2 linked regions of the Mus musculus genome follow. The protein of the gene in region 2 purifies or fractionates together with the protein of the main gene of each other region. This does not show direct contact. Links are inferred from orthologs where the notes say so. Each region holds a gene or a part of one and is shown on either strand. Other genes may lie near its edges. The genes, in order: Cul5 and Asb1.

Evidence for each region.
Region 1: the proteins of Asb1 (region 2) and Cul5 purify together in Homo sapiens (affinity purification with mass spectrometry; 6 studies listed by BioGRID and IntAct, counting the BioPlex papers as one, with this or other methods). This does not show direct contact. The link is inferred for Mus musculus from reciprocal best matches to the Homo sapiens genes ASB1 and CUL5.

The regions. Positions count from the first base shown.
Region 1 is NC_000075.6:53,664,589-53,669,087, forward strand, and holds the start of Cul5 (cullin-5), read right to left. Parts: upstream 2,920-4,499; 5' UTR 2,474-2,919; coding exon 2,450-2,473; intron 1-2,449. UniProt on the Homo sapiens protein: Core component of multiple cullin-5-RING E3 ubiquitin-protein ligase complexes (ECS complexes, also named CRL5 complexes), which mediate the ubiquitination and subsequent proteasomal degradation of target proteins.
Region 2 is NC_000067.6:91,553,895-91,557,703, reverse strand, and holds part of Asb1 (ankyrin repeat and SOCS box protein 1), read right to left. Parts: intron 2,954-3,809; coding exon 2,826-2,953; 3' UTR 1-2,825. UniProt on the Homo sapiens protein: Probable substrate-recognition component of a SCF-like ECS (Elongin-Cullin-SOCS-box protein) E3 ligase complex which mediates the ubiquitination and subsequent proteasomal degradation of target proteins.

The sequences.
Region 1 (4,499 bases), on a different chromosome or scaffold from region 2:
ATGAAACGGGGCTGTGATGAAATGTTCTACAGCTAGACTGTGTAAGGAAAACAGGGATAGGTCCCACATGAAACGGAGTCAGAAGATTCAACCAGTTGCAAACTGTATTGTCAAATATGCACTACATACTCAAAAAATTGCCAAAATCCAATTGACAGTTCACTTGATCTAACCAGAAAACATGATCCCAAATAAAATAAAATGCCAATATAAAAGCAGATCTTATTGCATCAGATTCTTAGAAATTTCATAAAGTTTCTAATCTTATTTTCTCAAATGTACTAGTAGTTATTTCTCTGAATTCTGTCAACTATAAAAACAAAACAACCTAACCCCAAACAAATGAGACAAAACAAAAAAACCACCTTTCTGGAAGTCACAAGCAAGCTGAGATTTTCCCCCTGAAGGGGCTCGGGCTCATTATTCAGCATGTGTCAGGTACAGCTGGTAGATCTGGGACTGACTCACACTACTCTTGTCTGACCGATGGACATGCTAATTCTCTCTTTGGTAAAATCTACTTGCATAAGTCCAAGGCATTTCTCAAATAAGCCAATATACTAGTCCAACAAAAAATATGCTAATTTGGCCACTCCCCAGTAAGCTCTATAGCTACTCAAGGTAGTAACAGCCCTGAATTTAATAATCCCATATATTAAATCATAGACAGACCCTGGCTGGTCCTCACATATTCCAAAGACAAACTTCAGTCTCCCCATTTTATGATTAGTACTTTTCAAAATATGAGTATTTGGAATCCCTCTCCCCAAAAGTTCCAACAACTAAAATAGGTAAATGTTTGACAATGTAGAGATAACAGAATCAAATGTCTGTTTATTATGTCCTTCATATTACAACAGTACTAGCTATAGAAAATCAGACTATCAGCCAGGCCTTGTGGGGAACACCCAGAATCCTCTCTTAAGTTCAAGAGCAGCCTGGTCTACACAGTGAGTACCAAGATCAGGTAAAGCTACAAAGATCTTTTTGAAAATTCCTATTTCTGGCATCTGACTTCACTCAGTTGGTTACTGGTCTTTCCAGTATATTGTCATGAAGTTACAGTACTTCTTTTTCTCTCTTGCTTTGAGTCAGGCTCTAATGACAGCCCTGACTGGCCTGGATTCAGAGATCAGCCTGCCTCAGCTTCAAAAATGTTGGGACTAGGGCTGGTGAGATGGCTCAGTGGTTAAGAGCACTAACTGCTCTTCCTAGGTCCTGAGATCAAATCCCAGCAACCACATGGTGGCTCACAACCATCTGTACAGCTACAGTGTACTCATATACTTAAATAAATCTTAAAAAAAAAAAAAAAAGAGCGTTGGGACTAAAGGTATGTGCTACCATATTGGAATGCAGAGCTTTAAAAATCATCCTAGTTATCTTTACTCCTAGCTGGGTCAGGTAGGCCTTTTCATTCCCCTCAGCCTCAGTGTAGACAATGGATTTCTGTGACTTCAAGGCCAGCTAGGTTACACAGCAAGTTCTGGCAAGACGGGTCCAATGAGACCCTTTTTTAGGGGGGAGGGAGCATTATCTATTATTATCTATTATTATTATTATTAATTCACACAGCCTGCGAACATAGTGTTTATGTCCCCTCAGGTAATCACTAGTCCCATATTTCAGTTAGTAAGTTCAGGTCAGAATTCTTACTAAAAAACACAAACTCGCCTCAATTGTCTTCCTCAATCCTCATTTTTTTAGAGATGATTCTACATAACCTGCTCGCCCTGGGACTCTCCTGGCATTTACAACTTTTCAATGCTTTCTTTAAATGAAAACTTTTCTACACCCTAAAAGGATGGACAGCAGCACTTGATCGGGTGCCATCGATGTCCTATAAGGGAGGTCAGGATTGGGAGACAGTTCCTCAAGGGACAGAGAAAAGGTGGAAATAGACGGCCAGGCGTGAGAGAACTGGTGGGAAGGTGTGACATTCAGAGAAGGGAGGAAAGAGGTGAAGTGGCAGGCAGGCACTGCTGTCTAACTCACAGTTCCTGCAGAGTGCGAACAGAAATTAAGGAATGGGGTTGGGGGAGCATGGGGGGACCAGCCATTGAAACCTGCTAGGCAGCATTTTGCTGGGATTTTTTTCCCCTATTATGTCTTTGACACTCCATTCAGAAGGGACGGGCCCCAAGAGTCACAATGATGGGTTGGTGCGGCCCAGCGACACTGCTCTCGCTCCCAGCCGGGGTTGGTCCCTTGAAAGCATCGCTGCGAGTCGGTGAGCCGGCGGGAGGAACCCACCAGGTCCTCTGGACCCCCGAGGCCAGGGCCCGGCGTCGGGGTGCTCGGGCAACAGCCACCCCGGCTCATTCCGGTGGACAACCCCGAACCGCTCTCCTCATACACATCTTGCCGCTCCCACGGAGCCCGGTCCTTCCCCGGGAGCCGAGCGCATCGATGGCCGGGCAAAAGCCCGGCTGCAGCCGGGGGGACTTACCTTTAACAGATTAGACGTCGCCATGTTCTCAACTTGGACTCTCGCGAGACGGGGCGAGACTTGGCGGCGCTCGGGGCCAGGCCTCCTCGAGAGGCCGGGGTTCCCAGCAGGACCCCGCAGGCCGCGGCGGGGGATGCGGGGGACGCCGGAGCGGCGTGCCGTCAGCGCCGAGCTCGTCCCGGGCAGCCGTGCTTCCTCGGGCTTTCCAGCTACATGGTCACCCCGGCCTGCCCACGCGAGAGAGCGCATGCAAACGCTTGAGGAGACGCGAGCGGCGAATGGTGGGAAGGGACCGGGAGCCGACCAGACCGGGAAGAGGTAGTAGCCACTTCCTCGGGCCTCCCCAGCTCGCCTTCGCTTCTGCCGCTGGGCTTGCACCCGCTTGGGCCGCCGGCAACGACTTTATCTCGGCTTAGGGCCCGCACCTCAGGGTCCGTGGCGGCGTCACGTGACGCGGCGGGCGGGGGCGTGCTCGGGAGCAACCCAGGCGACAGCAAGCCACTGGGTCCCGAGGCCCGCGCGGAGGGTGCGAGCGCGCCCTCTGCTGGCTGGAGCCGGCGCAGCCCTCACGCGCTCGCCCCAGATCGGAATGGCTATTCAGAGCTCAGGATTAGATTAGCCTGGAAGGCTTCTTACTGCTGTCCTCAGGAAATGCTGACTGAGAGAAGGCGCCCAGTCAATTAATAAATGATGCACAAACGTACTGTTATTCCTATAAACAAAAAAAAAAACCCTGCTTGTTCAAGAAGTGATTGTTAATCTTGGGTTCCTTAAGACATATCCTAGAGCACCCTATAGTATTTTCTCCAAATTGCATCGCTTCTGATCACGAATCTCTGATCAAGGGAAGAGAATGTAATTTATACAGGGATCTCTCAGGTTAGCTGTTATTTAATGCATTATGCAAGTTCCTAATACTACCCTTTGGGGGTTTTAGTTGCTTGGTTGGTTGGTTGGATTGGTTTTTGACAGTTTCTCTATGTAGCCCTGGCTGTACTGAAACGCCATCTGTAGACCAGGCTGGTCTTGAACTCGGAGAGTGGAGGTAGGTGCCTCTGCCTCCCAAGTGTTGGGATTAAAGGTGTGGGAAACCACCACCTGGTATCAAATTTGTTTCTTTGAAACTCATCTCTCACTGTCCAACAATTTTAGTCTCAGTACTCAAAGCAGAGGCAAGAGGATCTCCGTAAGATTGGGGACAGCCTGGTCTACAGAGCAAGTTTCAGAACAGCTAGGTCAAAAAACCCAAGAAAACAAAAGTTTCTCAAACGTTGCTAGTGCATTCTTTATATTAATATAACCTGGGGTGCTACTTAGAAAAGCAGACTTTCAGGCTCCACTCTGAAGGATTTTATTTCATATATTATGCCTGAAAACTCCTTTTGCCCCAAGCATTCCAGGTAGCTATGTTTAAAGAAGACTTTCTATGTATTCTTGGATGGCCAGGAATTCTGTATGTAGACCAAGTTGACCTAGAACTCTAGAGTTCTGCCTGCCTCTGCCTCCAGAGTGACTGGTGGGATTATAGGTATACGCCTCCCTCGGAAAAGGCCAAGAGTTCTTTATATCTGCTTCGTGCTGGGTGTGGTGGAGCATGCCTTTAATCCTAGCACACTCTTAAGTTCCAGGCCAATTAGAGCTATAAAGTGAGACCCCTATCTAAACAATATAGCACTTAAAGTGAGTTAAGATTTGCTACTTTAGGACTGAAGAGATAGCTCAGTGGTTAAGAGCACTGACTGCTCTTCCATAGGTCCTCAGTTCAATTCCCAGCAACCACATGGTGGCTCACAACCATCTGTAATGGGATCCAATGCCCTCTTCTGGTGTGTCTGAAGACGGCTACAGCGTACCCATATGCATAAAATAAATAAATCTTAAAAAAAAAATCTGCTACTTCACAATGGGCCTTAGTTATCTTGTTTGTGAAATTAGTATTAAAACATCTATAGCATAGTGCTATGGCAAAAATTAAATGTAAAGGCTAGAGAGATGGCCCAGTATACTCACATACATTAAAAATAAAATAAAATAAAAAGGGTATCATAGT
Region 2 (3,809 bases):
GCAGTCCAGTCAGCTGAGGAAATTTGATTTCCTCAAGTACTACAAGCCACCCTTACCCTTTTGCTCGAATGGCTCTCTGTTGGTGCTGCACTGTGGGTCAAGATGATCCAACCGCCCCACAAGGTCAATCCCAAATCCAGACTGTGGGCTCTCAGCACTGTGACCACCGTAAGTGCACTTCCACTAGGAAGCAGTTTTCTCAGGACAGAGACCCCTCCCAAACAAAGTGTCTGCAGCCTCGGCACTTCACAGGACCTCAGCAGGGTCCCTGGAAAGGCACAGGAAGAGCTCTTCCTGTCTGCTGCAGAGCAGACACTGCTCCAGGAACTGGCTGAGCACAGGCCAGAGCAGCTCTCAGGCATGAAGAACTTCCCTCCGCTCTGGCCCACAGTCAGGACTTTATCTTTCAGGAAATTTTTATCTAAAAATTCATTCATGAAAGTGAAAAGGGGAAACTCTGAAATAATGGTCCTTAAGCCTGACATCAGTACTGGTCAATATTTGAAAAATGCCAATTATCTACTTTACCAATCTACTGTCAAAACAAAATAAGACTCTCCAGCTTAAGTCCTCTTATGGAAAAAGAATATGAATAAATAAATAAATACAAAAATATATAAACAAATAAATACATAAATACATAGATGATAAGTAGATAATAGATTAATAGATAGATAGATAGACAGACAGACAGACAGACAGATAGACATCACAAGTAAAATAGCTACAAAATGTATGGCATTGCCTTGGCAGGTTTCTGGACATATGTCTAAAAGCCCAATACTGAAAAGATAAATTCTGAGGGATCATCACTGGTTCCAACCTGCCTAGCCAAGATTCCACTACACAAGTCTTCACTTAAATCAAGTGGCTGCCCCAGTAACAGCAACAACCCCACAAATACCCCTTTGATGAGCTGGGACAACCCTCAGGCTCCTTCCTCTGGACCACTAAGCTCTTCTGCTAGGGCCAGTTCAGCCAGAAGGCAGTAGGTTCATCAGACACCCACATCCCCATGCTAGGAAGGACACAGGTAACCAGAGCTCAGAAGTCTGCTGAGTAGAGGGTCAGTCCTCACCGAAGTCACATCAACTTCCTATGGTACCTCTCATGAACCTGGGGTGCTTCTTACCCCGTACCTCATCCTTGACAGCAATGACATGCAGTGCCTTCATAGCATACTGGCGACAAGGGGAAGTGCCCTCAGTCCATGCCGATGCTGTGTCACATTCAGAGTTACCGGCTGGAAATTCTGAACATGCAGAACCTTGAAGTGATTGAAAGGTTCTGAAAACTGGTTTGAGACAGGGAAAGCTACTCAAGTCCAAGTGAAGAGCTGTGCTGGGGCCACACAGAACAGCTGTGGGGAGACAGGGACAGGCTCTGGCCAGCTCATTCCTGCCCCAGACACAGGACTCACTGTCCAGGACTGGGCAAGGCTCATCAAAACTCATGTAGTACATTTGGACCAGCTTGGTGTTGCTGCCTTGGGCCTTCCTGAGGCACTGGGGTGGGGTTTGGAACTCCATCCACAGAATCCCAAGGCTACCAACTGCCTGACTGGTCAGCTAAAACACAAAATGGTACACTAGGAAAGTATTAACAAGTTAAATCCCCTTTATGGCCAAAAGTCTAAACAGATTTATTACCTGCTTGTCCCAAATATTCTCAAGTCTATAATCAGCAAGGTCCACACAGTAATCCTAACAGGCTTCAGAATGACAAAAGGTGACTTCACTGAAACAGGAGCAACCTAAGGATGCTCAAGGCCGTGGTTATGGGCCCACCTGCTGTGACACTCACCACTCAAGAGTTAAACAAACCTGCAATCCTGCAATAAGCTCATCTCTCTCACCCACCAACAGCCCTGGGCAGGACAGGGAAAGACCTCTAGAAGCACCCACAAAGGCATTGGGTCAGAAAGTGGGAGGAACAGTCACCCAACACCTAGATATCCTGTCTAGTGGACACCAAGAAGTTGTAGCCTGGAACCACCCAGGTGACCAAGACATTTTCCACTTCCTGTATGGGAGTGTCTGAAGAGAGCACCCGTGTCATCTTCTCTTGTGAGGACTGGCAGTGAGTACTATTAAGATGGTCCCTGATCTGAATGTGGGCAGTCACTTAATGGTTAGTTCCAGGTGGGTCTCCTAAAGGTAACCACTGTCTGAAGATCCCCAGGGTAAGACATCAGAAAACCCTTGGCAGAGCAGATGGTGCCCTATGAACACTGTTCTGGGACCTCTGTGCAATAAGATAGAACCCCAGAAGCCATCTTAGACGGAAGACAACTCCCAAAATAGAACAGTGGCAGCAAAGAGAAGGGATGTGCACCAGGCAGCATAGACAGACAAACCCAGGCAAGAAAGCAGGCTAGCAAGTGCACGAACCGAATTCCTTCTCCCTATATCTTTTCTTAACAAACCTCTTTCTGTTTTGATATCAAGCCTTAAAAGAACAATAAATTGCAAAGTAGGAACATAAATAGATGCATAGCCTGGAGAAAAAAGCCTTCCCCACTAGGGCAATCACCAGGCTCAGCCCATGCTGCACACATTGCCAGGAAGAATCCAAAACAGAGAGACTGAAGAGGAACAAAATTAAGTTTGTATGTGCCTCTCAGTTGACAATGACTCAAGGAGCGTTCGATGGCCCAAGCACCTGAGATAGAATCACAGTCCAAGAGAACACAGCCGTTTCTTCTTCACTGACAGCCAAGGATCAAGCTGGCAGCACAGGCCATGGTTCCCAGGATGCCAGAGTCTGTGTCAGTTTTCACTGCAGGTGATCGGCTTCCACATTGCAGTCAGCACTGCATGTGAATGCTACTCATAAAGCAAAAACTTCTTTATGGGGTCTGGCAGCGGCAGCGAGGGAACCAGATGCAGTCGGTATTTGCCAAGAGCTCTTCTCACAGCCACCCGGCACAAACTCAGCAAGGTCCTGGGAATACCTGGGGAGTGTGAGGAGAAAGAGGAGGGAAAGGTTACTTCTCTCGTAACTCGGAAGGCCCAAAGCCAACCTTCCTCATCTGAGTCGAGGAGGCTCTGGGAGCTACTAGAAGGCTTGCTATCTGCATCTTAGCCAGGGCATCTGCTCATCTGTCAGCCACTCCTCCCTCTGCAATGCTTAGTGCCCTGGAAAAAGGCCACCCATGGAGGACCCACAGATGAGAACAAATGACCTTCGCTCTTGCTCTGTCCCAGCAGGTCACAGAGGCCTGGGGACACCAAGTGCACAGTACTTGAACTCAGAGATTAGGCTGCCGGTCTTCCTGCCTCGATGGAAACTACACAGCTAAACCCCTGCTTCAGGAAGGGAAGGTGACCAGAAGAAGCTTCCTTCTGTTCCTGGTTCCCACCCGGAGGCCATCAGCCAGCACCTTGGAGAAAAGCTAAACAGGAACATGTTTCTGAGACCTGGCTTGAGTATAGCTAACAAAAACACACTGCTACTAATGTTCTTTGAGAAATAGAGGACCAACGACAAACTATCAACTCATATGTCCTCTGACAAGATGGGAGAAGTGAGGGGTAGGCATCAGGCAGGCAATCAGACAGACACACAGGTTAATCTCTGCCTGTGAGACATGGCTGACAGCAAATCCAAGCACAGGTAAACTCCAAACTCTGTCGCCACTGACTTATTAATTCCTTAACAAAATCCTCCCATGCAAACAAGCTCCATATTTCATTTTGACAAAAACTAGATTTATCACATAACTCTACCCTTTGATATTTGAATGGAATTTTTTTTTAAAGATTTATTTATTTATTATATGGAAGTACATTGTAGCTGTCTTCAGACAC